Stegostoma tigrinum: one gene and its partners. The protein of the gene in region 1 purifies or fractionates together with the protein of each later gene. This does not show direct contact. Links are inferred from orthologs where the notes say so. Each region holds a gene or a part of one and is shown on either strand. Other genes may lie near its edges. The genes, in order: ppp1cb, capzb, ccdc85ca and YLP motif-containing protein 1-like.

The links.
Region 2: the proteins of ppp1cb (region 1) and capzb purify together in Homo sapiens (affinity purification with mass spectrometry; 3 studies listed by BioGRID and IntAct, with this or other methods). This does not show direct contact. The link is inferred for Stegostoma tigrinum from reciprocal best matches to the Homo sapiens genes PPP1CB and CAPZB.
Region 3: the proteins of ppp1cb (region 1) and ccdc85ca purify together in Homo sapiens (affinity purification with mass spectrometry; 3 studies listed by BioGRID and IntAct, with this or other methods). This does not show direct contact. The link is inferred for Stegostoma tigrinum from reciprocal best matches to the Homo sapiens genes PPP1CB and CCDC85C.
Region 4: the proteins of ppp1cb (region 1) and YLP motif-containing protein 1-like purify together in Homo sapiens (affinity purification with mass spectrometry; 3 studies listed by BioGRID and IntAct, with this or other methods). This does not show direct contact. The link is inferred for Stegostoma tigrinum from reciprocal best matches to the Homo sapiens genes PPP1CB and YLPM1.

The regions. Positions count from the first base shown.
Region 1 is NC_081357.1:18,405,855-18,413,656, forward strand, and holds the start of ppp1cb (serine/threonine-protein phosphatase PP1-beta catalytic subunit), read left to right. Parts: upstream 1-4,383; 5' UTR 4,384-4,468; coding exon 4,469-4,520; intron 4,521-4,803; exon of another isoform or gene 4,804-4,898; intron 4,899-7,802. UniProt on the Homo sapiens protein: Protein phosphatase that associates with over 200 regulatory proteins to form highly specific holoenzymes which dephosphorylate hundreds of biological targets.
Region 2 is NC_081381.1:30,769,919-30,778,298, reverse strand, and holds the start of capzb (F-actin-capping protein subunit beta), read right to left. Parts: upstream 3,070-8,380; 5' UTR 2,920-3,069; coding exon 2,917-2,919; intron 1-2,916. UniProt on the Homo sapiens protein: F-actin-capping proteins bind in a Ca(2+)-independent manner to the fast growing ends of actin filaments (barbed end) thereby blocking the exchange of subunits at these ends.
Region 3 is NC_081363.1:18,244,643-18,252,572, reverse strand, and holds the start of ccdc85ca (coiled-coil domain-containing protein 85C-A), read right to left. Parts: upstream 3,011-7,930; 5' UTR 2,103-3,010; coding exon 1,403-2,102; intron 1-1,402. UniProt on the Homo sapiens protein: May play a role in cell-cell adhesion and epithelium development through its interaction with proteins of the beta-catenin family. May play an important role in cortical development, especially in the maintenance of radial glia.
Region 4 is NC_081363.1:17,203,314-17,210,860, reverse strand, and holds the start of YLP motif-containing protein 1-like, read right to left. Parts: upstream 3,124-7,547; 5' UTR 2,906-3,123; coding exon 2,459-2,905; intron 1-2,458. UniProt on the Homo sapiens protein: Plays a role in the reduction of telomerase activity during differentiation of embryonic stem cells by binding to the core promoter of TERT and controlling its down-regulation.

The DNA of each region.
Region 1 (7,802 bases):
TGTTCTCTATATCATTTCGATTTGGATTACTTGAGGCCAAAGCGAAAACAGTATTTTTTTTTCCATATCTCACTTCTTAGACACACACTTTTCTCTTCACTGCCTTCATGTGTTCTTAACGTACTCACCTGAATTTGACACATCAAACACAAGTCCAGACTGATCACAGCAGCGTGAATATAGAAACAGGAGATAGTCATTCAGCCTCCAGGGCCTATTCCACCATCTGCCATAGACCATAGGTGATCTGCATGTTAACTCAGTTTACCCACCTTTTGTCCGTATGTCACATTATGCTTGCATCAAATGATACTATGAATTTATCTTTAAAATTCAATTGACCCAGGAAATCAACTTCTCTCTGAAGAAAATTTGAGATTTACAAAAACCTTTCCATGAAAAAGTTTTTCCTGAATGCATTTTTAAATGGTTTTGTTCAACTAAGGAGGAGATGGCCTAGTTGTTTTATCCCTCCAAAAATTCTGTTCTGGGACATAGGTTTGAATCCTGCCACGGTAGTTGGCGGATTTTAATTCAATTTTATAAAAACCTGGAATTGAGAATCTACTTACGACCAAGAAACCATTGCTGATGGATGAGGAAAAAGCTGTCTAATGGCCTTCAGTGAAGGGAATCTGCCATTCTCACCTCATCTGGCCTACATGTTACTCCAGACCCACAACAATGTAATTCACTCTCAAATGTCCTCTGAAACAGCCTGCAAGCCAATAAGTTCAATGGTACTACAAACAGGCAACAAATGCTGGCTAGCCAGCAACATCTACTTCCCATGAGTGATCCAAAAAAAATTAAGATTAGCCCTTCTTGTTTGGAATTCTACACTGGAAGAAGTGGTTTCTCTGTATCCATCTTATTCAGCCCCTAAATTATTTTCATTGCCATAATTTGTTCTCACTAATAAGATCAAGGGTACATTGTCTAAGCTTGTGCAACTTACAAACCCTAGTTTCAGTGGCAGATTGGCTGAAGCACATGCAGAGATGGACAGCAAAGTATCATCAGTAGTGTTATGAAGCAGCACATGCTCAGTAATAAACTGCTCTGTGACGCACAGCTTGGGTTCCATCAAGGCCACTCAGCTCCTGACCTCATTACAGTCTTGGTTCAAATATGGACAAAAGAGTTGAATTACATTGCCGTTGATATCAAGTCTGCATCCAGCTGAGTTTGGCATCAAAGAACCCTAGCAAAACTCCAATCAATGGGGAACTCTCTACTGGTTTGAGTCATACTGGGCACATAGGAAGATGGTTGTGGTTGTTGGAGGTCAGTTAACTCAACTCCAGGATATCTCTGCAGGTGGTCCTCAGAGTAGTATCCTAGGCTCAGCCACCTTCAGCTGCTTCATTGACGCCCTTGCCTCCATCATAAGGACAGAAGTGGGAATGTTCATTGATGATTGCACAATGTTCAGCACCATTCAGGATTTCTCAGATACTGAAGCAGTCCATGTTCAAATGCAACAAAATCTGGGCTGACAAGTAGCACATAACATTCATGCCACACAAACGCCAAACAGTGACTGTCTCCTATTGGAGACAATCTAACCACCATCCTTTGACATTCAATGGTGTGACCATCACTGAATCCCCCACTATCGACATCCTGGAGATTAGCATTCACCAGAAACTCAACTGACTCACCACATAAACATAGTGGCTACAAGAGAAAAGTCCGAAGCTAGGAATATTTCAACAAGTAACTCACCTCCTGAATCCCCAACGCCTGTCCATCATCTACAAGCACTAGTCAGGAGTGTGATGGAATACACCCCACTTTCCTGGATGGGTACAGCATTCATTCCTTCCACCATCGACATCAGTTGCTGTAGTGTGCAGTATCTATAAGATGCATTACAGGAATTTGCCAAAGTTCCTTAGACATTGCCTCCCAAATCTAATAATCACTCACATGTGGAAGGGCAACGGCAGCAGTTACTTGGGAACACCTGCAAGTTCCCCTCCATGTGACCTACCATCTTGGCTTGGAAATATATCGCCATTCCTTCACTGTTGCTGGGTCAAAATCCAGGAATTCCCTCCCTAAAGCCATTGTGGGTCCACCTACAGCATGTGGACGACAGCAGTGCAAGAAGACAGTCTACCACCACATACTCAAGGGCAACTAGGGACAGGCAATAAATGCTGGCTCAGCCAGTGCGGCCCATGAAAACTTGAAGGAATTAAGGGGGAAGAGTTGATTGCCTTCTACCATTTTCAGACATGGGGTATGGAGGTGAATGAATGGGGTGGCACGGTGGCTCAGTGGTTAGCACTACTGCCTCACAGCGCAGAGATCTGGGTTTGATTCCAGCCTCAGGCAACTATCTGTGCAGAGTTTGCACATTCTCCTTGAGTCTGCATGGGTTTCCTCCCATATCTAAAGATGTGCAGGCTAGGTGGATTGGTCAAGCTAAATTGCCCATAGTGTTCAGGGATGAGTCGATTAGGTTGGTTAGAGGGGGATGGGTCTGGGTGGGATGCTCAAGAGGGCCAGTGAGGACTTGAGTGGCCTATTTTGACACTCTAGGGATTCTATAATGATTTCCATTTAGCTGCATCCACTCCTGTTGAGGCAGCCAGCACACACACATTGTGTTGCTTTATCATTTTAATTATTACAGCATAAAGATTGTGAGCTATTATGCTGCTGGTTGAATGTTCAGAAATTAATCTCAGTTGGTAATCATGAACCACCCAACTGCAATGAAGGGATTCTGTCTTCCTCTTCCACGCTTCCACTTGCTTCCCTTCCTCATGTTCATTTCAAGGTAGTCTCCAGATATACGGTGGCAAGGGCTTTGTTTCTCATGATAATGATGATGGGCTGAATGCCTTCCCTATTTGCTGTAACAATTCTGTGACACAGAGGACTCTTGGACGCTTGAACTTTTGAGTACTTGAGGGGTCCTCTGAGCAATCGAGGCAGGGTAATCATTGCTTTAGTACACCACTGATCTTCTCTCTGATGTTCCCATGTTGGCAGCATGGAACTCATCGCCAGCATTTTCTCCATTCACACCTTAGGGCAAAGAGAGCCATGTGCCCAAATGATATCGCTTGTTTCCAAGTAGACAGGTGTGTTGTGATTGCATAAAGAACAGTGGGAAGATCTGACTGCTGCAGGATGAATAAGTTTTGGCTGCTGACAGGATACCAGGTATTTACCAAAATGATATTTTAGACATTGCAGCAAACCAATGTTTTCGTGAAATGTTAGCTCTTGACATTTCCCTGTTTAGACGTACGGCCCACAGAACCACATACATGCGCAGTCAATGACACTGCATTGTTGGAAAATGTGGTAACCTAGAAATGCCAACTCTGTCCATTTCTGCTAAGATAGAAACAACAGCGTCCCTCTCCTGGACTATATGATCTCTGTCAACTTACTGATGTAATGGTAAATGCTAAACTGGGGAATGTTAACTATTGGGATTGAGATCAGAAGAAATTTCTTCACCCAACAAGTGATGAGCTTGTCGAATTCTACTACCATAGAAAGCAATCAAAGCCAAACATTACAGAGATTGTAGGAATTGCCGATGCTGGAGAATCTGAGATAACATGGTGTGAAGCTGGATGAACATAGCAGGCCAAGCAGCATCAGGGGAGCAGGAAAGCCTTCCTGCTCCTCTGATGCTGCTTGGCCTGTTGTGTTCATAAGGCCAAACATTACATGATTTCAAGAAGGAATTCAGTACTGGGTAGAGCTAAAGGGGTATAAGGATATGGGGGAAAGCAGGAACTGGCTACTGAGATAACAAAGTGAGGAGCTGGATGAACACAGCTGGCCAAGCAGCATCTTAGGAGCACAAAAGCCGACGTTTTGGGCCTAGACCCTTCATCAGAATTGGATGGTCAGCCATGATTATGATGAATGGTGAAGCAGGCCCAAAGGGCTGAGTTAATGGGAACTGCAGATGCTGGAGAATTCCAAGATAATAAAATGTGAGGCTGGATGAACACAGCAGGCCAAGCAGCATCTCAGGAGCACAAAAGCTGACGTTTCGGGCATGTCCCTTGACCACAAGGACTGCAATGGATCAACTTTTCGCGGGCTATTAGGGATGGGAATACGCGCAGGCCTAACCAGCAAAACACATATCCCATGAAAGAATAAAACAAAAGCATCCTATGAAGGCCAGAATGTTCCACAGACTTCCCTGTAAGGAGGAAGCAATACTTGTTCAATGAGCAAACATTCTCATTCACTTTTGCCCTCTGTTGCCGTGTTTATCCCAGTACTGATAGGGTTACGCAGTGAAGAAGCTGCTCTCCTCCGCTGTTGTGTTTTATTCCAGTACTAGCAGGGTTACTCAGCGAAGAAGCTGCCCTCTTCTCTCCCTCTCCGTCGTTGCTGTGTTTTATTCCAGTGCTGACAGGGTTACTGAGTCCCCTCCTCTCTCCCTCCTCTACCGCTGCCCTCGGCTGAAGACTGCTGTAAAATGGCGGACGGAGAGTTGAATGTGGACAGTCTGATAGCTCGGCTGCTGGAGGGTGAGTCGCAGAATCAGTTGGAAAACAGCCTTTTGCTTTTTTTTAAAAAAAATCGTTAATGGTCCCCGGAACAACCTTAGATAACGTTTGTTTGATTTGCGAGGGATCCGGGTTTTTGCATTTCGAGAGGTGGCTCGAAGAAACAGCTCTTCACGGGATTAAAACAAACGCCTTTCCCCCGCCGCCGGTTTTTTTTTGTTAGAATTTGGAATGGTGTCGTTTGAGACGGAAAACCTTTGTACGATTTCGTTATAAAAACACGGAGGGATAGGTTTCGTTTTACCTGAGTGTGGCCTGTTCGGGCTCCGGAGCCTCGGCGTTGTGCTGCTGACAGGGTGGGCGGACGGGCGATGAGGGAGCCCAGGAACTCGGCGCCGGTTTAACCGACGACAATTTCAAATGGTTCCCAACCGCCTGCCTCTCGTGAGGGTGGAAATTGAGTTAGATTTTTTTTCAATTCGGAGTCAAAAGCATTTCATTTATAGTATTCAAAATATTGTAATATTACCCAGAGTTTTTTTTGAGTAAATCTCTTTTTTTTAATAAAACGAGTGAGAATTTTTTTTCCATTTAGGCATCTCTATCGGATCACGGTCTTGTAAAACATTTTAAATATTTAGCTTTGCAAGTTTGAAGGCCTTTGTTCTTTTCCAAAGGCTTGGATTCGAGTTAGTCAATCCCGGCAAGTTTCTATTTGCTGCATTTAGTTAGTGACTAGTAAACGTTTAATTATCGTATCTTTCGTTTGTGAGGGAAACTTTTTTGTCTTTTGATCCTCGTGTCTCCTTGGGGTGTGTCGTTTACTCTCTCATAGTGTTACGGTAAGGAAGGCCGTCGTTGTAGATCTCCTCAATCCATTCCTTACAAGGAGCCTTTCACTGGCTCTTGCCTGATGTCAACTATCTGAAAATATTTCATGTGTTCTTGCTTGTGGGTGTGTTTTTCTGTCCCAGCAGCAACTAGATTACATTGCCCATTTTTCATTCCGAGGAAAAAGGCTATCCCTCATTCCAGCTTAGTTCCATCTCCAGAAGACAATGGACACAGTAAACAAATTAATTTAAGATGGGGATGTAGTGGACCTTTCACTGATGGCTGAATAAGCCAATTTTTGAGAGGCAAGTTCTGCCACAAATGCCAGATATGGAGCTAGAGCATCATTGTAGGTTGATTTTGGTGCTGGTGGCTGTTCCCAAGCTGCGGTAGCCTTGGTCATCGTGGTACCAATTGGATACATCAATGGCTTAACAACAGGAGACACAATATTGGTGGAGGGTTACTTTTCAGACTGGAGGCCTGTGACCAGCAGTGTTCCACAGGCATTGGTCTTAGAACATAGAACATAGAAAAATACAGCACAGTACAGGCCCTTCGGCCCATGATGTTGTGCCGTGGAATGATCCTAATCCCAAAATAAAATAACCTAACCTACATCCCCCCAATTCACTGCTGTCCATGTGCATGTCCAGCAGTCGCTTAAATGTCACTAATGACTCTGCTTCCACGGGCAAAGTATTCCATGCGCTCACAACTCTCTGGATGAAGAACCTCCCTCTGACATCTCCTCTATACCTTCCTCCTAACACCTTAAAACTATGACCCCTCGTGGCAGTCAATCCTGCCCTGGGGAAAAGTCTCTGGCTATCGACTCTATCCGTGCCCCTCATTACCTTGTACACCTTGATCAGGTCACCCCCGCTTCCTCCTTCTCTCCAGAGAGAAAGGTCTGAGCTCCAAATTGGGTCCAATTTTGTTTGTCATTTGTATTAATGATTGGGATGAGAATATAGAAGGCACGGTTAGTTTCTTTTTAATTCATTCACAGGAGAGGGTGTTGCTGCTAGGCAGCATTTATTGCCCAACCCTAATTGCCCAGAGGTCAGTTAAGAGTCAGCCACATTGTGGGTCTGGAGCCACATTAGATTCTTAATTCCAGATATTTATTGAATTCAAATTCTACCCAATGTTATCTGGGTCCAGCAATAATAATGGCATTGTAGACAGTGAAGAAGGTTTTCTCAGATTACAGAGGAATCTTGATCAAATGGATCAATGGGGCAAAAAATAATGGCAGATGGAGTTCAATCTGGATAAATGTGAAGTATTGCATTTTGCTACAACAAACAAGAGTGGGGAGAATGGAGACAACAAGGTGTAGAGCTGGATGAACACAGGCCAATCAGCATCAGAGAAACAGGAAAGCAGACGTTTCGTGTCTAGACCCTTCAGAAATGGGGGAGAGGATGGGGATTCTGAAATAATTAGGGAAAAATGGGGAGGCGGATAGAAGATGGATAAAAGGAGAAGGTACGTGGAGAGGAGACAGACAGGTCAAGGAGATGGGGTAGGAGCCAGTAAAGGTGAGAGTGGGTGGGGAGTTGGGGAAGATTTAGGTCGGTCCAGGCAGTACAGGCAAGCCAAGGAGGTGGGATGAGGCTAGTCGGTAGGAGATGGGGGTGGGACTTGAGATGGGAGGATGGAGAGGTGGGAGGTCAGGCTAGGGAAGTGGGTACGAGCTGGGCTGGCTTTGGGATGTGGCTGGGGAAGGGGAGATTTTGAAACTCGTGAAGTCCACATTGATACCATTGGGCTGCAGGGTTCCCAAGTGAAATATGAGATGCTGTTTTTTGCAACCTTCGGGCGACACTGTTGTGGTACTGCAGGAGGCCTGGGATGGACGTGTAGTCTAAGGAGTGGGAGGGGGAGTTGAAATGGTGAATGGAGACCAGTCACTAATGGTATTCTGCAGTGATCAGTCTGAGGTTCTCTGTTGTCTGTATGTATAAATGATCTCAAGAAAAATGTGGGTGATCTGATTAGCAAGTTTGCAGATAACACAAAGATTGGTGGAGTTGCTGTTGGTGCCAACGATTGTGAAAAGATACAGCAAGATGTAGATTGGCGACTTGGGCACAGAAACGGCAGATGGAGTTTAATCCAGTCAAATGTGAGGTGATGCATTTTTGGAGTATCAAATTTCGGTGTGAATTATGCTGTAAATGGCAGAGCCCTAAGGAACATTAATATTCAGATTGATCTGAGAGTGCAAGCCAACAGTTCCTGAACATGGCAACACGGTGGCCAAGGTGATTAAGAACATGTGGTGTGCTTGCCTTCATTGGCCGGGGTGTGGAGTACGAGAGTTGGCAAACTATGTTGTAGCAATATATAACCCTTGTTAGACTGCAGCTGAAGTATTGTGTGCAGTTTTGTTCTCTGCGCTACCAGGAGGACATGGAAGTTTTGTAGAGAGTACAGCAAAGGTTCACCAGGATGTTGCCT
Region 2 (8,380 bases), on another chromosome or scaffold:
CAAGGACAACAAATGAAGGAGACTAAGCATTCTCAATAAAGATATGCATCCTAAATTTCCAAAACACCACTGGAACGAAGGCTTTGGGTACAAGCCCCTTTCAGAGATTTGACAACATAATCTCAGTTGAGGCTCTAGTGTAATATTGATGCAGTATCATACAGCAAACTTTGTTTTAACTGGCCCCTTATCTACCAGCACTCTTTATAAACCACCAACCCTCAAATACTGCAATCTACATTGATGTCTGAGTATTTATGCTCTTAATAACATATAACAGCGGTACGTATACCTCACATTACATTTATGCTACATACTACGTGTTTTTACACTGCGTTTAGAAGGTTTGTTGATGTTTTTACATCGTTTTTTTTGAGGCATATTGATGTCTCGAAGCTTCACTTGGTCAGAGTTTAATGCAGTATGCATATCTCTTGATTATATGGAATATTTCCTCAATCGCCACACTCCCATGCTGTATGACTCTATGACTCCTGGTCCCACTGGTGCCAGTTAATAAAGTTTGCTGAATTTTCAGATGAGATGTCAAACCATGTTCATACAAGTCTCTGGCATGGGTGTAGAAGATCCAATGCAACATTCTCTCAGAACACAGAGTATGCTTCGTGTCCAGGCTAGTATTTATCCTCAATTCTCATTACTAAATCAGATTTCTGATGGCAATCACATTGATATTTGTGGGGCCTTTGTATATGCATATAATGTAGAATATGTGGCAGCCAATAACAGTAACTGTTTTTCAGAAGTTATGCATTGACAGTAAATCACTTTGGAACATTCCATGGCAATGAAAGGTGCATTAAATTGCAAGTTCCTTCTTTCAATCTATTCTTCCTTGACCCTCTGAGTTACTGATTTTAGTCTCTATGTATGCAACATCCTTTGGTTCTGCACATCAAAAGGTTGGTGGAACAAGAGGGAGGATTATTCCCAAGTCAACTCGCACCTGAAGAAGGGTTTCAGAGGGGTACTTTCAAAGGCAAAGAAGCAAATTGCTTGTTCATATTCATCATTTTTAAAGCAAGGTTAAGTACAATCAGGTGATGATAAAAACAAAAAACATTTCATATGCCTCAAGATCAATAACTTAAAGGATCTATTCAAAGAGATGCTGTCATGAGACTTAAATGCAATATTCAGACAACACTGCAGACTTCAATACTGTGCAAGTCCTTGATTATCATATGAAACTGCTCTCACAACAAAACTACTTATAACAGCTAGTACATTAAAGAAGTGTCATAAACTCTGAAATTCCTCCAACACAATCCAAGTTTGAAAGAAAACAGAATCTATATTTTTACTACTCAAAGTGCAAACGGTCTGAAAATGTCACATTTTACGCAATCATTGCTTGAATATTTCTGTTACAAGGGGATCAAAAGCACAACAAGTTTCAATCAGTCTATGCAAAAGCAATAAAACAAAGCAAGGGATTTTCTGAATTCAAAGATTTCAGCATTTCTTTAGAAGCATCAGAAATGAGAACGAGGTCATGCCAGTTACCCAGGCTAAGAGAAATGGAAGTTTGTTATTGACTAATCTGACATGTATTCAAGTCACATAAAATAAAACAGTGCCATAGCTTGGTTTGAGTTGAGATCTGGAGACTAATTCACAATCAACTTCTTGATAAAAAGGCTCATCAGCAAATACAGAGCAGCAATTAGTCATTTGGTCTACAAAAAGACCTTGAGACCAAGAAATTGAGACACGAATTGATATTTTGAGATTAGATTGGTTAAAATAAATGAATAAAGGATTAAAACTTTTCCCAATGCAATCTATTCAAACAGTTCAGAAAACAGATCATGCAAGATCTTGAAAATTACAATCCTCGTCTAAACCCAACAAATGAATAACACAATCTGTCAAAAGATAACTTCCTCATTTCTACAGTGAAATGCCTCTGATGTGCCACCAATGAAGATAAATCCAGGAGGCAAAACGACACCAAGTACTTTTTAGTATTACAGATAGAAAAATTAAAATCGCTTAAGTGTTCAAATATATACATATCTGACTCTCAAACTAATCATTCCACCAACAAGCGTTAGTTTGAAAGTGCTATTATCTTTCATTGAACAATAATAAATATTAGAAAATAGATTTGGTTTAAGGAAAACCCAAAAAAGTATGATCTTCTACTGTAACCAGTTGTAAACTAATCTCTGGGTCTGAAAATTTATTTTGTTAATCACTCAATTTTCACCACTGTGGAGTAGCATCCATCTAAACTCCATTTAATAGCTTACAATTTCAATGCAAGGGCGCTCAATAACTTTGTCCTGCGTTGGACCGCATTTCCTTTAAGATGCACAATTGGGGAACCCTGAATTCACAACAATCTGACATCAAAAAGGAATCCAACTGCCTTCAGTGAACGTCCGTTGAATGGTCAGAGGATCATAACACCAAAAAAAATTGCAACACAAGACTTGAATGGACTATCCCAACTAGGACACTGGCGCAGGTTGAGGTTGTGACAGTCCAGAAGACCAAAAGCTCACAGTTGATCTTCCCTCCCTCCGTCAGTCAGATCTGGTCTGGTCTGAATGAGGAACAGTATTTGGCAGGAAGTTTGCCTCCACTTTACAGCAAGGCGCGATGTGGAGAGAGAGGATAGTTGATCGCTACCCCAAGGAATCAACAAGATAAACTGAAGGGCAGCTGGATTTAGGAACCGTTACCGGGAGGTGAGCGGCGATGCAGACACAGGGCCGGGTCGGGCCGAGCAGTCCTCCCGCCCCGTGTCTCCTCTCTACCTCACCCCGTTGGCTAGCCGGATCTAACTCGCGGCGTCCTCCATGCGAGGACCAGCTGAAAAGAGGGTCCTGTGTCGGGAAGTGGGGCTATGAATAGATAGGGCTTGCCCCGGGACCAGGCGATACTCACCATGGCGATGGCGGTGGTGACGGTTGGCGGCGGCACTCTCGCGGACGGTTTCTTCGTCGGGCCCGAGCGATCATCCGGGTCACGCAAACAACCCGCGCTCAACCAATCAGCGTCCGAAGCTGCAGCTTGCCCAAGTATGGGCCTTGCAATGCGGAAGTGGTGCTCCAGTAGATTCTCTCCCCTCCTCCCGCACGACTGTCAATACCCTCAATGTCTGCATACCACCCCTGCACTGTCAATTCCCTTACTACCTGCACATACCCCACTGATCGTCAATGTCTTCACTATCTGTACACTCCCCAGTGCACTTTCAATATCCTCAATATATACTCTCCCCACTGCACTATCAATACCCTTAATATCTGCACATTGATCAGGGCACTGTCAGCATCTGTACACTTCGCAACGCACTATCAATATTGATATTAATAGTGCAGCAGTATTAATATCCTCAATTTCTGCATATTCCCCACTGCACTATCAATATCTGCACACTCCCCATGGCATTATCAATGTCTGTATATTCCCGAATACATTGTTAATGCCCTCAATAAATGTACACTCCCCCACCCCCACACTGCCAAAATCTCAATATCTGCACCACTGCACTGTCAATATGCTCAACATCGGCACACTCCCTGCTGCAGGCTCAATATTCTTAATACCTGAACATTCCCCAATGCACTTTCAATATCCTCAATATATACACACTCCCCACTGCATTGTCAATATCCACAACATGCACATACTCCCCACTGGTGTCAATATTGTCAATTCCTGCACAATCCCCAAAATGCTGTCAATGTCCTCAATATCTGTACATTCCCTGCACACTATCAAAATCTCAATATCTGCATATTCACCACTGCACTGACAATATCCTCAATATGTGCACACTGCCTGCTGCAGTGTCAATATTCCCAACACATGCATACACTCCAGTGCACTTTCAATATCCTCAATTTATACATTCCCCACTGTACTGTCAGTGTCCTCAATTTCTGCACACTCCCCACCGCAGTGAATATCCTCAATATATGCATACTTCCTGATGCACTGTCAATTGTCAATATTTGCATTATTCCCTCTACACCATTGACGTACTCAATTTCTGTGCACTCCCCCAATGCATTGTCAATATCCTTAATAAATGCATTCTCTCCAATGCACTGTCAACTGTCAATATCTGGACAGCCCCCACTACACTGTCAATGACCTCAATTTCTGCACACTCCCCAATACACTGCCAATATCTGCACAGACCCTACTGAACTATCAATATCTCAACATCTGCACACAGTCTTCAATGCACTGTTCTTATCCACAATATTTGCACACTGTCTGCTGTACTGTCAGTATCTGCACACACCCCACTTCATTATCAGCATCCTCAATATCCACTCACCCTCTTCCCATTTAGGTAAAATATTGTCCATTCATTCTCCAACGTCCTTGAATGTGTATATAACACTTACATTTATTTTTCATACAACTGTTTACAGTATTCCTCCCTTCAGAATTCTGGCACTGCCAAAGCACAACAACAGATCTAACCAATATGCACAAACTGTACTTTTGGTGATTAGAACATGATATTTTATCTTTATACAACTTCCATTACTTGGTCATAATGGACAAGGTTCTTCTCTCAGGCACTGGAACAATTCCAACAAATTGATTATTGGGAAATTAATTTAGTGCAGATTAGGAAACAAATAGGGTGACACATTGGCTCAGTGATTAACACTGCTGCCTCACTGTGCCAGGGATTCAGGTTTGATTCCAGCCTTGGGTGACTGTCCATGTGGAGTTTGAATGTTCTCCCAGAGTCTGCATGGGGTTTCTCCCACAGTCCAAAGATATGCAGCTGAAGTGGATTGGCCATGCTAAATTGGCCTGTAGTGTCCAGAGATATGCAGGTCAGGTGGTCAGCCATGGTGAATGCAGGATTGTGAGGATGGGGTGAGATACTCTTCAGAGGGTTGGTGGTGATTTAATGGCTGGATGGCCTCTTTCTGCACTGTAGGGAGTCGATAATTTGTTTTCGTCTTCATGACTGTGGACCACACCACAGAAATCCAAGGAGCCAAAATAAATCACTTTAATTCACCACTCTGAATAAGTTATGTTTTAAATTATAAATATTAAATTGTAAATATATATTTACCATAAAAAAGAATAAGACATATTACAAACCCACTTAAACACACAAAGCAGTTTATTTTTGGTGTAACATATGTTTTAATCCTCATCCTAATTCAGTCTTCACTCACCATTTACACACTTTCTATAACAGGAAGCATAGGTTAGATTTAAGAATAGCATATAGGGGCATGAGAAAACTGGAAGCATTTGTTGTAAATATAACTGTGCACAGTAAGAACATTTGGTGATATCAAGTTCAGCTTTCATAAGTATGTCAATCTTCTGTTAGGTTTCATGTTTCAATATTTTTGGAGGGTTACACTTAGAGATAACTGAAAGGAGAAGTGAGATTCTCCAACTGGCATTTAGTAGAAAGGAAAATGGCAATACATTAGGGTTACTATTGACTATTGTTATGGTCCCTGTTATGAGAATCCTGGACAAACTTGTTGTTATTGTGATTTGGCTTCATTGGCCAACATCTTGTAAAAAAAACAGAATGATATCAGAAAAAAAAGCACAAAAGAAAGCAGCAGGATACCAGGATTGAACTGAAACACCAAAAAATGTTCATTATACAAAGTTGAACAAAACTAACCTAAGCGATAATAACTAAAATAGGTACAATAAAAAGGTAAGATAATTATTTTGCATCATATTTAAATTTAGACGCCAGCATTCAAGATTAACAAATGCATCAGTTAACGGAGAAACAGTAGTTGAGTACCTCATGGATTGCACTATAAGCAACTGATGCAGTCAAGTCAGATTCCACCCAGATGTTGGAAACATTGTAGGCTGTCAAATCTCATCAAAATTGTCTCTTTTACAAGGGATTCCAATTCTTCATTTTCAAATATCTAAATGTGGGACACAGTTAAAGCCTCTCCAATTTGGACTGTGTCAAATTCTGCTCATGTCTTAGTAGTTCAATTTCTTCTCCTATGACAGAGCATCATAGGCACAGAGCTGTACAGCATGGAAACAGACCCTTCAGTCCAACTCATCCATGCCAACTAGATAACCTAAATTCATCTAATCCCATTTGCCAGTACTTGGGCTCATATCCCTCTAACCCCTCCTACCCATCCATGTACCCATCCAGATGTCTTTTAAATGTTGTCATTGTACCAGCCTCTACCACTTCCTCTGGCAGCTCATTCCACATACCTACCAACCTCTGAATGAAAAAGTTGCCCCTTAGATCCTTTTAAATCTTTCCACTCTCATATTATACCAATGCTTAAATTGTTTTTGACTCCCTGGCTCTGGGAAAAGTACCTTGCCTATTCACCCTATCCATGCCTCTCATGATTTTATAAACTTCTAGAAGGTCAACCCTCAGCCTCCAATGCTCCAGGGAAAATAGCCCCAGCCTATTCAGCCTCTCTGTAAAGCTCAAGCTCTTCAACCCTGATAACATCCTTATAAATCTTGCTTAACCCTTTCAAGTTGCACAACATTTTTCCTATAGCAGGGAGACCGGAATTGCACATGGTATTCCAAAAGTAGCCAAACCAATCTCCTGTAAAACTGCAACATGACCTCCTAATTCTAATACTCAATGACCATTAAGGGCAAGCATACCAAATGTCTTCTTCACTACTCTGTCTACCTTCAGCTCTATTTTCAAGGAACTATGAACCTGTACTCCAAGGTCTCTTTGTTCAACAGCACTCCGCAGGACCTTACCACTGAGCGTATAAATCCCGACCTCATGTGCTTTTTCAAAATGCAACACCTCACATTTACCTAAATTAAACTCCTTCTGCCACTCCTTGGCTCATTGACCCATTTGATCAAGATCCCATTGTACTTGGAGGTAACCTTTTTTGCTGTCCACTGTACCACCGATTTTGAGGTATTCACCAACATCTTTTCAACCTTTCCCTCCTACAAGCCGAAGTCCCCACTTTCTTCAAGAAGACTACCATCATCCTCATACCCAAGAAAACACTTGCAGTGTGCCTTAATGACTACTGCCCAGTGGCTCTAACTTAAATAATCATGAAGTGCTTCGAGAGGCTGGTCACGGCCCAATCAACTCCAGTCTTCCAGCCTGCCTCGATCCCCTACGGTTTGCCTGCCAACATAAGATCCACAGAGGATTCCATATCCCTAGCCCTGCACTCATCCACGGAACACCTGGACAACAGAGACACCTATGTCAGACTCCTGCTTGCTGACTGCAGTTCTGCCTTCAACACCATTATCTCCTCCAGACCGATCTCAAAACTGAGTGACCTTGGTCTCGGCCCCACCCTCTGCAACTTGTTCCTCAGCTTTCTGACCCACAGGGTGCAATCAGTGAGGATAGGTAACGGCATATCCTACACAATAACACTCAACACTGCAGCCACGCCAAGAGTGTGTCCTCAACCCCCTACTGTACTCCCTGTGCACCTACAAAGGTGTGGCGAAATTCCCAACCAGTCAAAATACAGATGGGAGGTAGAAGGCTTGGGGATGTGGTGCAATGAAAACAATCTGTCTCTCAACATCTGCAAAACTAAAGAACTCATCATTGTCTTCAGAAAGAAGGGAGGGGAACATGTCCCCATCTACATCAATGGAAGTGACGTTGAGTGGGCTTACAGCATCAAGTTCCTTGGAGTGACAATAATTGACAGACCTGTCCTGGACTTCCCACATAGATGAGACAGTCAAGAAGGCACAACAACGCTTCAATTTCCTCTGGTGACTCAGGAAATTGGCATGTCCATAAGGTTCCTTATCTACTTCTACAGATGCATCAATGAAAGCATACTGTTTGGGTGCATAACAGCCTGGCATGGCAACTGTTCTGCCCAGGATCGTAAGAAACTCCAGAAGGTTGTGTGCAGACCATCACGCAAGCCAATATTCATTCCATGGACTCTGTTTACACAAAGTGCTGCTGCAGAAAAGCGGCCAACATCATCAAAGACTCATTGCACCCTGGTTATGACCTCCTACAACCACTTCCGTCAGGCAGAAGACACGGAAGCCTGAACACACGCACATGCAGGTTCAGGAACAGCTTCTTTCCTGCTGTTATCAGACTGCTGAATGGATTCTAGCCTCAAATAATGTAACCTGTATGCCTCTAAGTCTCTTTGATCTGTACATCCTTTGCTTGCTGTAATCTACCTGTACCGCTCGTAAAGAAAGCTTTTCACTCTATTTCGGTACATGTAACAATAGAATCAATCAATCAACTGGTGTCATCTGTAAACTTCCTAACCATACCTCCTATGTTCACATCCAAATCATTTATATAATTGATAAAAAGCAGTAGATCCATTGTGGCACACCGTGGTCACAGGTCCCCATCCTCTGC
Region 3 (7,930 bases), on another chromosome or scaffold:
CCGCCCTCTGTGTGAAAAAGTTGCCCCACAGATCCGTTTTAAACCTTTCCCCTCTCACCTGAAACCCTCTGGTTTTGGGCTCTCCAACCATGGGGAAAACACCTGGGATATTTACTTTATCTCTGCCCTTCATGATTTTTTAGACCTCTATAAGATCATCCCTCGGCGTGCTATGTTCCAGAGAAAAATGTCCCAGGTTACCAGCCTCTCCTTATAACTCAAACCTTCCATACCCAAGCCTCTCCTTATAACTCAAACCTTCCATACCCAAGCCTCTCCTTATAATCCAAACCACCCAGTCTGGGTAATATTCTTGTAAATCTTTTTGCACCCTTTCCTTTTTAATAACATCCTTCCTATAACAGGGTGACCAGAATTGTAAGGCAATACTCCAAAGCAACCTTACCAATGTCTTGCACAGCAATAAAATGACATCCCAACTAAGGCTCAGTGCTTCATCAGGCCAACCACATAATGTTAAGGAACTTTTAAATCAACTTTAGTCTGGAATGGGCTGGCCACAAAGTCCACCTGGCAACATTAACAACAAACTCAAAATGCTGGAGAAACTCAGGTCTGGAAGCATCTGTGAGGATAAAGCCAAGTTATCATTTCTTGTAAAGGGTCACCCGACTGAAAATGTTTTCTCTGCTTTCGGTCCACAGATGCTGCCAGACCTGATGAGATTTTCGGGCAATTTCTGATTTCCAGCACCCACGGTTTTTATAGAATAATTTTTTTTGGCAACTTTAATATGTACATTTCAATTTCACGCATGGTGTGCTGTCAAACTTTCCATCCCTTAACTCCATCCACACTTCCCAATGCTTCGGAAGGGCAACCAACGTCGATGACCCGTCCCAGCCCAGTTAGAGGTCCAACCTCTACTGCGGGCAGACCTTGAAACACCTGGTATCAACAGGCTCAAGAACAGCTTCTTCTCCACTGTTAGTAGGCTTCTGAATGGACCTCTCAAATTTCAAATCTAATGCTGATCTTGCTTTTGGCGCACCATCTTTGCAGCTGAGCGTATGTGGCAAATAAGGGTTAATTCTAATGCTAATTCTAAAAGAAAAATCCAATTCCTCGCTCTGTTCAATCACCCTATGATCTCTCTACGTTATGACCTGCATGCAAAAGAAAACTTTCACTAAGGTTAAGTGCAGGTGAATAATAAATCAAGACAAAATAGCATATCAGCAGGAAATGTATGGGGGGGGGGGCTATTGAAAAGTTGAAAATGTGGCCGCTTATCACCCAAATCCAGGCAACAATAAAACTCCAAAGCTTGGTCCCTGGTTGAACTTTTAGTAAAGATACAAACAGGATGGAGCGTTGACATTAAAAAAGGGGGTACAGGTTGCAGGGACAAATGCTAATGTGTTAAAGGAACGGGACTTACCATTCAGTCCGTTGGGGATGCTCCTATGATGGGGGGCTCCCGAGAGGTCATCGGTGGACCTTGCGACGGGGGCAGGGCCCTTGTCCCCAGCCTTGTGGTGCTGATGGTGGTGGTCCGGGCTGCCGGCACTGCCTGCGCTGGACGTACTGCTGCCGTCTCCCACGTCCCTGGTGGCCGAGCCCCCATTCAGTTGGATCAGGCTGCTCTGGCTGTCGATGGAGTTGCGGCTGCCGGCGCCGTGCCGCTCGTCGTCCAGCATGAGGGCGATCTCTCTGAGCTCCCGGTTGTCCTGGAGTAGCGCCTCTTGCTTGGCTTCCAGCTCCCGCAGCTTGTGCTGCGAGGCGCTCACCTCCTTCCAGACGGCGGCCGCGGCGAAGCGGCCGAAGCGCTGCCACTCGCGGGCCAGCCTCTTGCCCTTCTGCCGGTCGTCGTCCAGGAAGCAGCAGAGCTCGCGGAGCTCGTGGTTGTCGTCCTGGAGCCGCTGGTTGATGTCCTTCAGGCCGCGGATCTCGTGCAGGTGGAGCTGCAGCCGCCGGTTCACGTCCTTGATCAGGTTGCCGTGCTCTAGCATCAGGCTAATCCTCTCCTGCTCGCTCTTCCTCAGCCTCCTCACCAGCTCCGCTTTACCCCATTTCACCAACTCCTCGTCCGGGATCTTGCTCAGGTCCTCCCTGGAGCCGTCCGGCGAATTTTTCGCCATGATCGCCCCAGAAGCAAAATCAGTCCCGATAATTTGCAACTAAAATCGGCTCCCAATAATTTGCAATCAAAACTGACTCCCAATAATCTCGGTATTATAAACCCTTCACTTTGCAAACCTCCTCCTGTTGGAACAGCACCAGCTCATGTTTGACCCTGATCAAAAATACACTCTCCTCCACCTTTTCCCTCCTACTTGGGCAGTCACTTTTATCTTTAGGCAGAGGTGGAATGGTTTCCCCAACTGTCTAGTAGAATGTCTGCCCCTGTCTGTGTGTGTGTGTGTGTGTGTGTGTCTGACAAGGCACGAAAGACTTCAATAAAAACGATCTCAGTTTCCCAGCTCAGTTCCAGCGTCGGTCTGTTTTATTCAGCGGGTCGGGGGGGGGGGGGAGCCTTTTTCCTGACCGGCAGTGCAGTGCTCAGATTTCCGGCCTGCCTGCGGTTGGCTCTTCAAACACAAACACACCGTGATGTCAAACCGGTTTGTCATTCTGTTTTCTGCGGGGAGAGGAGAAGCGAGCGGCGCATTTCTGTCGGAAAAGGGAAATCCTGTCGAACATGGGGCGGGATGATAGTCTACCTTCTCTCCCTCTCTGCCTTATTCACGCCCCAAGATCCACATTCACTCCCTGTCGGATGCACACAAAAGTGCAACTGGTTCCTACAAACCCGATACCCGGTACACAAAGAACTTTCGCTTCTCTGCACTCACATTCTCTCTCTACTCCCAGGAGAGCAGCTGCCACGGAATGATGGTGCAAATTATTCCACACTCCCACCGCGGGGTCCAATCGAAGCGAAGGCAAACGGAATTAAAAAGCAGGTAGCTAGAGGCTTGTGTGTCACGGACACATGCACAGGTCGAGCCTCCACGGCACAGGCTACGCTTTATCACGTGAGGCTAGAAGTTTACATACGATTGTATCACCTATGGGCTCACAGCCTTCCCTACCTGGGAGCAGACACCACTTTCCAGTCAGTTGTGTAATACAACATTCCAAGGTTCACGACTGGCTTATGAGGCACTCACTAAAGCCTGGGGAAGGTGGGCATTGCTAAGGTCTGTCACAAAAAAAAACATGAGGAGGAAACAAAACAAAAATTGGCGGAAAAGCTCGGCAGCTCTGGCAGCATCTGTGCAGAGAAATCAGACCTAACGTTTCGGGTCCGGTGACCCCTTCCTCAGTTCTGTTTTTATTTCTGATTTACAGACGCCACAGTTCTTTTCAGTTTTTTTTTTCATAAAACATGAGAGTGCTGTTTCATTTCCACACACCCTGGTAGCCTAAATGGGAATGTAAGTAATTTCCTTCCGTGTTTAGAATATGCCTTTTTTTGTTGCAACTGCATTAAAGCTTGAATGAGGAATGTCGAAATTCCAATGTATTTTCTGCAAAGTCCGTACGGAACCGTTTCTTGAGGAAAAGAACTGCGGATTCTGGAAATCAGAAACAAAAACAGAAATTGCGAGGAAAACTCAAAGCTATGGTAGGATCTATGGAGAGAAAACAGTTCGAGCCCAGTGACTTTCTGAGTTTTCCCAGCAATTTCTCTTTCTATGTATTTGTCTTCACTTATAGATTAGATCATGTATGAATATTTTTGCAGAAGAAACTCAGCAGGTCTGGCAACATCTGTGGAGAAAGAGCAGAGTTAATGTTCCCGGCCCAGTGACCCTTCCTCAGAACAATTGTGTGTCTGATGTAGATTAAAGCTTGGAAGGGTGTAAGAAGCAGATTCAGTTCAATTCGATATATACCTGAGAGAAATAAATAGAGCCGTTGTCTGCTGGTTATCACAGAGAAATTAAAGTGGGCGATATTACTTGGGAACCAATTCTCTACTGATGTACAATTTTAAACTCAACCAGCAATTATTTACCAAGGTCTATTTGTTTGTTAAGTTCGAGGTCATGCAGTTCAATGATCATTTTATATCTTTGGGAAGACTGAAACCCTGCGGGGAGGTAAGAGGCTGTAACTGACACGACGAGCCTGTCTGTCGCGCTCTCTCTCCACGCCCCCACCCCCTTCCTTTCAACGTTGTCCTGTTCACTTCTTGAGTCGTGTTTCCTGCAGTTACAAGAAAGGAAATGGTGTGAATAGAAACCGCGCAACCCCCCCCCCCTTCCCCAATCAACAGCATTCTGCGTTACATAATGCAGTTTCGACTTGAGATCTTTGAAACTTTTTGTACAAAGATTGGGGAGGCGAGGGTGTCCGGTCTGACCATTTCATTTCGAGCTGTTGCTTGGGGATTATTTGCTTCATTTTTGGATGGTGTGTCATATGTTTGTGTCCAAAATTTCACCCACACCCCCAGGAGTTCGGGCCGGTTCCCCTCCATGCAAGACACATGTGTTTTCACCAGTCTCTATATTGAAGAATTTCAAACTGGGGGATACCATTCCCCTATTCGGAGTCACCGGACCCGAAACGTTAACTCTGTATTTTCCTTCACAGATGCTGCCAGATCTGCCGCGCTTTGCCAGATTTTGTTCCCATTCCCCTATTATCTGCTACTGGAATGTGCTTCAACATAGTTTTACTTCAGATGAGTTTCGTGGGAGGTGATTGAAAAGCGCACAGCCCAGAACACAATGGGGAGAATCCCATTCGCGGATCCAAATGCGATATCAGGCCAGGATTTGAGCTGGCACTTGTTTTGCACCTAAAGATTTAACCTCAGCGACGATGTGGAACGCACCGGGCCCCAGATCGAGAGGAATTGAATAACCATTAGATTCGGTCCAGCTCCATACGGTTCGCAAAGGGAAAGCGCGGAAACACTGAGCGGGATGGTCACTTTTTACACCATGATTCCTTGCCGGAATTGGACAGAACGAATGGGAGGCCGGAAAATGGTAAATGCACAGCTCAGGGAGTTGTCATGTTTCTCCATCACATCCACGCAGACGATCTCATTATTCTGTCCAGTTGTCTGGCTTTGATCGAATCTCCGGATCATACTTAAGAATTTGACAACATTTTTTCGTGCTGCAACAAATCCTACAATGTCAAAATTCCAACAGAGATAATCATTATCCTGGCAGCACAGATCTGCCTTGTTAGAATGCCCATTTAAAAGATAATTTCAGACGCAAAGTAAACTTCAGTTTCAGTGTCCTAGACAGCGGACATGATAGACTTTTACCCAGATTCCACTTCGGTAAAGATTACAGTAATTTTTTTCCGTTATGTGGGAAATGGTCATTTAAGAATTAGGCTTTCTTCATTCTTAAAGCCACCGCCTGGCCATTGTTTTCAATTTCCTGTCACACACCTGCAGCTGTTAGTTTGCTGACTGATCCTCCGCCTCAGATAACGCTTGGCTAGAGAAATACATTAGCCCTTCTCTAGCCTCTTTGCTCCTTCCTGCATAGTACCCATCATCAGTCTGTCAAGTCCAAAGGTTGTAACTTCAGGCATGTTTGATACAGAAACTAAAAAAAAATTGCTGGAGAAACTCAGCAGTCCTTGCAGCATCTTTGTGGAGAAAGCAGAGTTAATGTTTCAAGGCAGGTGACTCTTCTTTGGAATTGATAGCAGCTAGGGAAAAGTGGTATTTATGCCAAAGATGATATGGGTGGGTGAGCAGATGGGTGGAGATGGAATCCAGAAAAACGGAGATAAAAGGGGAATGCAAATGTGTGGATTATTGATAGTAAACCAGGATACAGGTCTGTTTTAGGCATTATCATTAGATCAAATCCAACCCCATTAACATTAGAGATAATGGGAACTGCAGATGCTGGAGAATCCAAAATAACAAAGTGTGGAGCTGGATGAACACAGCAGGCCAAGCAGCATCTCAGGTGCACAAAAGCTGACGTTTCAGGCCTAGGCCCTTCATCAGAGAGGGGGATGGGGTGAGGGTTCTGGAATAAATAGGGAGAGAGGGGGAGGCAGACCGATGATGGATAGAAAAGAAGATAGGTGGAGAGGAGAGTATAGGTGGGGAGGTAGGGATGGGATTGGTCAGTCCAGGGAGGATGGACAGGTCAAGGAGGTGGAATGATGTTAGTAGGTAGGAGATGGAGGTGCGGCTTGAGGTGGGAGGAAGGGATGGGTGAGAGGAAGAACAGGTTAGGGAGGCAGAGACAGGCTGGGCTGGTTTTGGGATGCAGTGGGGGGCGGGGATGAGCTGGGCTGGTTTTGGGATGCAGTGGGGCCGGGGACGAGCTGGGCTGGTTTTGGGATGCAGTGGGGGAGGGGAGATTTTGAAGCTGGTGAAGTCCACATTGATACCATTGGGTTGCAGGGTTCCCAGGCAACATCAGTCTCCACAGTGTGAAACAAACACCGACTAATCAATTCTTTACTGCGTGTAACCAGGGATGTGAGATAAAGCTGACTATCTGGAATTCGCTTTTTAAAAATTCAGTCACATGACGTAGGCATTGCTGGCTAACCTAACATTCATATTCCATTCCTAATAGCCCACAGGACAGTTGACAGTCAACAGCATTGATTTGGGTCTGGAGTCACATGTAGGCCAGACCAGGTGAGTTTCCTTTCATAAAGGACATTAGTGAATCAGATGAGATTTTCCTGACAACTGTTTCATGGTCATCTTTAGCAGATGAGTTTCTGTACTGTATGACTCAATGAGTCTATTAGACTCTTAATTCCAGATTTTTTTTGAGTTTATAGGCCACCATCTGCCGTTGTGGGACTTGAATCTAAGTCCCCAGAACATTACCTGGGTTACCATATTAATAGTCTAATGATTATACCATCACCTCCACTAACTCGATTAGTGACAATCTCATTGAATGGCCGAACAGTCAGGAGGAGTTAAATGAACAATTCCTAAATAATTGAGGGCCTTGCCTACACTGTAGGGGTCATGACCAGTTTTAATTCTCCTGCTCTTCACTCAAATGTACCCCTCCAACAAGAGATCCTTGTCCTGATCAAAACCTGATCTTGTATCTTTTTCTCCTGTCTCTTTATTCTCCTGATCCTCCATCACTGACCCCTGCCCAATTCATCCAAATCCTTTCGTCAATGCTGATCAACCTGATGTAAATTTCCAGCCTTTGTATCAGTTGCATTATTAATAGCCTACTTATAATTCACATCGAAATCCATGTATGTCAGTTTGCAGTATAACTGATAAATTCAACAAGACCTGAACCAGGATACTTTCTAATCAATGATAATAAAATGTGAGGCTGGATGAACACAGCAGGCCAAGCAGCATCTCAGGAGCACAAAAGCTGACGTTTCGGGCCTAGACCCTTCATCAGAGAGGGGGATGGGGGGAGGGAACTGGAATAAATAGGGAGAGAGGGGGAGGCGGACCGAAGATGGAGAGTAAAGAAGATAGGTGGAGAGAGTGTAGGTGGGGAGGTAGGGAGGGGATAGGTCAGTCCAGGGAAGACGGACAGGTCAAGGAGGTGGGATGAGGTTAGTAGGTAGCTGGGGGTGCGGCTTGGGGTGGGAGGAAGGGATGGGTGAGAGGAAGAACCAGTTAGGGAGGCAGAGACAGGTTGGGCTGGTTTTGGGATGCAGTGGGTGGGGGGGAAGAGCTGGGCTGGTTGTGTGGTGCAGTGGGGGGAGGGGACGAACTGGGCTGGTTTAGGGATGCAGTAGGGGAAGGGGAGATTTTGAAGCTGGTGTAGTCCACATTGATACCATATGGCTGCAGGGTTCCCAAGCGGAATATGAGTTGCTGTTCCTGCAACCTTCGGGTGGCATCATTGTGGCAGTGCAGGAGGCCCATGATGGACATGTCATCAAGAGAATGGGAGGGGGAGTGGAAATGGTTTGCGCCTGGGAGGTGCAGTTGTTTGTTGCGAACTGAGCGGAGGTGTTCTGCAAA
Region 4 (7,547 bases), on another chromosome or scaffold:
ATACACACCTTTGCCAGTACTTTGTCAGTCTATCAACATAGGAATCACTGACTAGATACAAAACAAGCTAGCAATAAGCTTTTGCACTAAGAATTGCAATAGGCTTCGTGATTATTTTGTACAGATGAGAAGAATATCTTCAGCCTTAGTTGGAGAAATACTTTTTTAAAAATAGAAATAAAACCTGCAGCAGAGACATGGTACTGTAAACCCTGGTGATTAACAGCTCAAACAATTCAAGGTTTATTAAATTATCTTCAGTGACAATGGACAACTGTCACCCACTGTTGCTGCACACCAGATGACGTATTACATCTAAAAGATACCACAAATAAGGGATTGTCAAAATTGTTTCTCACTAGCACTCAGAAATGAAACGATCCATATCTTTAAGGCACAAGTCTTTCTCAAGACACAAAACTTTGCTTTTCACTATAACAACAAAGTGTGGGGCTGGATGAATACAGCAGGCCAAGCAGCATCTTCGGAGCACAAAAGCTGACGGTTCGGGCCTAGGCCAATCAGAAATGGGGGATGGGGAGAGGATTCTGAAATAAATAGGGAGAGAGGGGGAGGCGGACCAAAGTTAGATAGAGGAGAAGATAGGTGCAGAGGAGAGTATGGGTGGGGAGGTAGGGAGGAGATAGGACAGTCTGGGGAGGACAGGCAGGTCAAGGGATCAGGATGAGGTTAGTAGGTAGGAGATGGAGGTGTGGCTCGAGGTGGGAGGAGGGGATAGGTGAGAGGAAGAACAGGTTAGGCAGGCGGGGACGAGCTGGGATGGTGTTGGGATGCAGTGAGGGGAAGGGGAGATTTTGAAGCTGGTGAAATCCACATTGATGCCATTGGGCTGCAGGGTTCACGAGCGGAATATGAGTTGCTGTTCCTGCAACCTACGGGTGGCATCATCGTGGCACTGCAGGAGGGCCAGAATGGACATGTCGTCTAAGGAATGGGAGGGGGAGTTGAAATGGTTTGCAACTGGGAGGTGCAGTTGATTACTACGAATCGAATGTAGGTGTTCTGCAAAGTGGTCCCCAAGCCTCTGCTTGGTTTCCCCAATATAGAGGAAGCCACACCATGTACAGCGGATACAGTATACCACATTGGCGGATGTGGAGGTGAACATCTGCCTGATATGGAAAGTCACCTTGACCTGTCCGTCCTCCCTGGAAAGACCTATCCCCTTCCTACCTCCCCACCAATACTTTCCTCTGCACCTATCTTCTCCTCTATCTTCAGGCAGCCTCCCCCTCTCTCCCTATTTATTTCAGAATCCTCTCCCCATCCCCCTTTTCTGATGAAGGGTCTAGGCCCGAAATGTCAGCTTTTGTGCTCCTAAGATGCTGCTTGGCCTGTGTTCATCCAGTTCCATGCTTTGTTATCTTGGATTCTCCAGCATCTGCAGTTCCCATTATCTTTGCTTTTCACTACGTTTGTTTTAGGTTATCATAGCATATTCACTCATCTTTCTAAATTCAGAAACTTTCTGACAACAATTTGATGACTCTAGAAAAATCTAATGCCAGATTAAAACAGGCTATTATTCAAAACAAGAATTATCATTGTCAACAATGCCATCTTCAATTCCATCAGAAACTAGACTATCTCCCAAAACAAGAAAAGGCCAACTATCTGATTCACTCTCACACAAAGCTTCCAAATTAACTGCCTTTAAAACAAAAAAATCTGATGGATTTTTGGCCGATCAGGTAAAACTGGTGGAAGAGAAACAAGGCAAGAAAAGGGAAATCGGAAATCAATCCATATTCTGGCTCCTTTTGTGCATTTTCTGTCACTATGACCTTATAGAGCATGGAATATTATACTCTGACTAATCCATGGGTATCTGTACAATTTCCTGCAATACTTAATGTCCAGCTGGAAAATACAAATTTGTCCTTCTACCTAATCAGGTAGTTTTGCATGTAGGTGGTACATCAGACTATTGCAACTTTTCTCATGACTTGTTTGGTTTCAGAGAGATCAAAAACCATCAGTGCAATATAAACTAGGTTTTCTACGCTCTACAACAACCCATTCACATTTCCAACAAAATAAATTAGATATCAAATCTGAATGGAAACATCAACTGTTTCTGTTTCCACGGATGCTGCTGGACCTGCACTTTGTTTTGTTTTAGATTTCAAGAATCTGCAGTACTTTGTTTTTAAATTTACTTAAGATGCAGTCTGACTTCTAGTCAACTAAATTCTGATTTGTTTTCTAACCATCAGTTCTGAAGAGTCACTGTTATTTGAAAGGTTAGTCCTGTTTTCTCTCCACAGATGCTGCCAGACCTGCTGAGTTTCTCCAGCATCCACATTTGTTTTATTCACAATTTTAGTTCCTGGCTGATCTCCGCATTTCTTAATATCTGACAGCGCGTATATTTCAAGGCCTGTTAAATAGTAATACGTCTGAAATGGTTTTGTCGTTTCCTTTTCGTTCGCCTCACCTGTAAAGCCACCGAGGAGAAATCTGGATGTTGCTGAGTGGGTTGGTTAGTCTGAGTTAGTTGGTTTTGGGTACTGCTGGTGTCCCAGAGGGTCTGAGGCGGTGGAGGTTGCTGCAGATGAGGCGGCAATGGTGGTGGTGGTATGGACGGAGGTGGAAGGTTTTGATGGGCAGGATGCTGCAGCACCGACTGTAACTGCTGCTGGTGCATTTGTTGCAGCTGCTGCATCTGCTGAAGGTGCTGTTGTCTGAGCGTCTGGAAATTGGATGCCAAACCGGCACTGGGAACGGGCGGGGGTACGGTGGTTGGGCTCAGGGTAGAGCCAACGCCAACCACCATGCCTGGTGCCGGCACACGAGGCCCTTGAGGTAGTGGAGGCTGAGCGGCTCCGCCATAATACGGAAGATGTGCCCCTCCCCCACCATACCGACCCCATGACGGATACATCGGGTCTAAAGTCTTCCTTCAAACAACTTCAACCAGCGAAAATATCTCGATAGGGGTAAAATATATTGGGTATTATTAAAATCCTGACAGACTGCCCTGTCGAATCGGAGCCGAAATAGCCACAACTAGCGGTCAATATTTCAGATTCTGCTTCATTCTTCGATGACCAACGCCATTACACGAAGAACCAGAGAAAACACAGACTTCCTACGTCATCGCGTCACGCTCCCCCGCGCACGCATCGTGCGTCAGCTCCTGTCGCAAAAGCCAGAATGTTCCATTTCTGAAATAACCAGGTGTAGAGCTGGATGAACACAGCAGCCCAAGCAGCATCAGAGGAGCAGGAAGGCTGACCTTTCAGGGATAGACCTTTCTTCAGTAAAACAAAAATCTTTAGGCCCGAAACATGAGCCTGCCTGCTCCTCTGATGCTGCTTGGCCTACTGTGTTCATCCAGCCCTACACCTTGTTATCTCAGATTCACCAGCATCTGAAGTTCCCACCATCTCTTGTTCCAATTCTGGTCTACTTTACGACAGCATGGTCAATATGATTTTCGAGAAGACTTTTTGAAAGGTTGGAAACGCCATTTTTGTTACAGGCACAACAAGCTGCGGCAAGGGGTGCACTCACTAGTGGCGCAGTCGCACTGTCCCTGCCCCCTTGACATGAGGACACCGGTTCAAGTCCTACCAGAGGTGGAACATTTCCAGAGTTTTGTACGGGCTAATTCGGAAAAATAAGGAAGATCTTGACAGATCCTGAAGAAAAACAGAAATTGCTGCAAAAGCTCAGCAGGTCTAGCGGCATATGTGGAGAGACAGTGTTAGAACTCGGACGTCTGCAGGATGTCACCTGGCCTGGGGACCTTCAGTTATGAAAAGAGATGGTACGCACATTGGGTTCTGAAGGATCAAAAAGCTCAGCAGGTCTGACAGCATCTGTGAAGGACAAAAAAGAGTTGAAGAGCTTTTCCGGCATCTTTGTTTTTGTTCCTGATTTACAGCCTGCGCAGTTCTGTCAGTTTTTATCTGAACAAGTGTCACGGAACCTAACATTTTAACTGCCTCCACAGATGCTGCTAGACCTGCTGAGCTTTTCTAGCAATTGCTTTCTTTAAAGCAGAAGAGATTGGAAACGGACGATTGATGTGTACAAAATTATGAGGTGTGTATATTTTTACAAAGTCACCATTGTCTTACTGGACCGTTGATTACACCGGAGAGACAACGGATTGTGGCTTAACCCGACGGTCACTGTAGTTAAGGTGAGGGGAGAGGTTGTGAAGGAGACTTCTTCATGGTAACGTCGACCAGTGCAGGAAATGAACCTACACAGTTAACATTACTCCGCCCTGTAAAGCAGCCATCCAGGCAATTGAGCTAAGTGGCACAGATAGAGTAGATAAAAAATAAACTTTTCTCCCTGAGGGATGAATGACCAGGCAGAATAGATTTAAACAGGCAAGAAGTTTATAGGAGATGTGCGGAAGAACATTTTCACCTAGAGGATGGTGAGATTCTGGAACTCACTGCCTGTAAGGGTGGTAGAGGCAGAAACCCAAATACTCCAAGTGCAGCCTCACCAACAACTTACGTAACTGTAATGTAACATTCCAACTCCTGTGTTCAGTGCCTCAACCGATGAAGGCAAGAATGCTAAATGCCTTCTTCATCATCCTGTCTACCTATGACATCGCTTTTAGTGAACTAAGAGCTTGTATTCCTAGGTCCTTCTGTTCCACAACAGTCCTCAGGACCTTACCATTTATTGTACAAGTCCCACCTTGGTTTGACTTTCAAAAGTGCAACACTTCAAACTTATCTGTATTGAATTGCATTTGCCAATCCTCAGCCCACCGATCAAGATCCCTGTGTAATTTTTGATAACCTTTCTTGCTATCAATGATACCTCCTAATTTTGTATCATCTGTAATCACGTCTTGTACATTCACATCCGGATCATTTAAGTAAATACCAAAGGTCCCAGCATCGACTCGTGGCACACCACTAGTCACAGGCCTCCAGTCGGCAAAACAAACTTTAACCATCACCCTCTGCTTCCTGCCATCGAGCCAATTTTGAATCCAACTAGCTAGCTCACCGTGGATCCCATGCAACCTAACCTTCACGACTAGCCTGCCATGCAGGACCTTGTCAAAGGCTTTATTAAAGTCCACATAGACAACATCCATTGCCCTACCTTCAATTATCCTCTTGGTTACATCTTCAGAAAAACCCTGACAAATCTTCTAGACATGACTTCCCACGCATAAATCCATGCCATCCCTATCAGGCCTTGACTATCCAAATGTTCGTTGATCCTGTCCCCCAGTATCCTCTCTAATAACTTGCCTACCACTGATGTCAAGCTCACGGGCCTGTAATTCCATGGCTTGTCTTGCTACCTTTCTTAAACAATGGAACAACATTAGCCACCCTCCAGTCTTTCAGAACTTCACCAGTGGCTAAAGATGAAGCAAAAATCTCTGCAAGGGCCTCTGCAACTTCTTCCTTAACTTCACACACCATCAGAGGATGGACTTGATCAGGTCCAGGGAATTTAATGCACTTTAAGACTGCAAACAACTCCTCTCTGATAATATACATGTGGGCAAAAACATCCCCACTTGTTTCCCTTATTTCCTTACCACGTGATTCTCTCCTCAGTAAACACTAAGGAGAAATACTCATTAAAAATCTCTCATCTCCACACATAGACAGCCATGCTAATCTTTAAGGAGACCTATTCTCTCCCTAGCCATCCTTTTACTCTTAATATGGCTAGAGAACCTCTTGTGATTATCCTTAACCTTATCTGCCAGATCCATCTGATTCCCTCTCTTTGCTCGTCCGATTTCTCTTAAGTGTGTTCTTACAGGTTTAATAGTCATCTAGGGGTTCACTTGAGCCCAATAGCTTAAACCTTATGTATGCTGCCTTCTTTTTCCTGACTAGAGCTTTGATATCCCTCATCAGCCAGATCTCTTAATAACTCTATGAATAATAGTCCTCCTGAAGAAAGTAAAGCTCAATATCTTCTTTGAAAAATGATCCTAAAACGCATGGCAAAATGTCTCAACTATTTCCAAAACAGCCACTTTACAGCTTAGAAAATACCCCTCAATTTCAAATCTTTAAGTGATACTCAACTGACTCTTTCCTGTTCTGTGAGATCTTCTCAGAAGTTAAAAGTTTAGATTTTCCCAATTTTTAAAAATCTGCCCATTTCTAACCAAACACACTTGGATTTGGAAGTTGGATGAACTAAATTTCAACTGAGGTAATTTATTTCCTTACCCGTTTTATATACCTCGAGATGAGAAATTATATTGTGTTTCTGATAATCAGGTCTCCTCAGAAACTGTTCAAAATGTTTCCATCTCTAGGTTCTGAAGTCAAAATCAATCCTTGATTATCGTAAACCAAAACCAAACTAATGGCTGTCAATGTTTACACTCACAGTTATAAACTTTTCCCAGTAAATCTTACAAACAAACATCCATTAACAGGTATCCTTGCTCCTTTACACAAACTGTATTTAAGCAATGTTTGAGAAACACTGATTGACCTAATTTTGGTAAATCTGGAGAAAATGCCCATATGCCACTACTTTCAAATCCAAACTCTAAAAATGATACATATATGAATCAAGCATCTTTCATCATAAGACCTCAGCCAAGGCCACAAATATCTAAACAAAAACAAAATACTAGAATGCTGAAATAAAAACACAGCTATTAATAATAATCTGCAGGTGAAACAACATCTATGTAGAGAAACAGTTAACTTTCAGGTCAATGAAGAATCTAAAGGAGAGCCATCATTGACCTGAATATTAACTTGGTTTCTCATAAAAGATGCTGCTGAATATAGCTAAAACAAATGTGAGAATTACTGTACAATAATAAATACATGATTAACTTCTTTATCAAAAGAGCAGTTGGAATGTGAAATTTGGAAATGCAGGAAGTAGTTGAAGAAAATAGCATTCAAGGGAAGTTATATAAGCACATGAAAGAAAGCAGTACAAGGATATGTTGATAAAAAGAAACAAATTACTGGGATACTAGACACACAAACTGGAAATGCTCAGCTACAGAGAAACAGATTAAGGACTTCTCATCAGAACAGCTTTCTTTCATTGTCTACAGATTTTGCATGACCTGATGATGAGGTATGACGAAGAGATATGAAATCACAAAAACATACATGACATATTGAGGCTACATTTTTGTGCCACAAATACTTTGTAATGCTTGTAATCTGACTGATTGCATGGAATTAGTGACATCCTTGTAAACTACATAGATCTTTGCTTGCTCATCACTTTAAACTCTCGTGGACTACAGGATCATCAATCATTAGGCAATTCTCTCCTCTATTGAGGTAAAGTATACCTCAAGAATAATTTGTTTGGTGGCTGCTATTGTGACAGTGTATTGAATCACTTGCAACAGGCCAGGAAAGAGGCACAGATTTTGATGAATTTCTCCTGTTCAGTGGATCAAAGACCAATACTTCCGCTGACCGGATGAGACCGAGATCCACGTTATCGAAGATTCTTATTACTTCTACTTAAGTCCTATACGCCAACAAGCCACAGTCAGAACAAATCTCTTATGTTTTCTATGCTGGGATCCA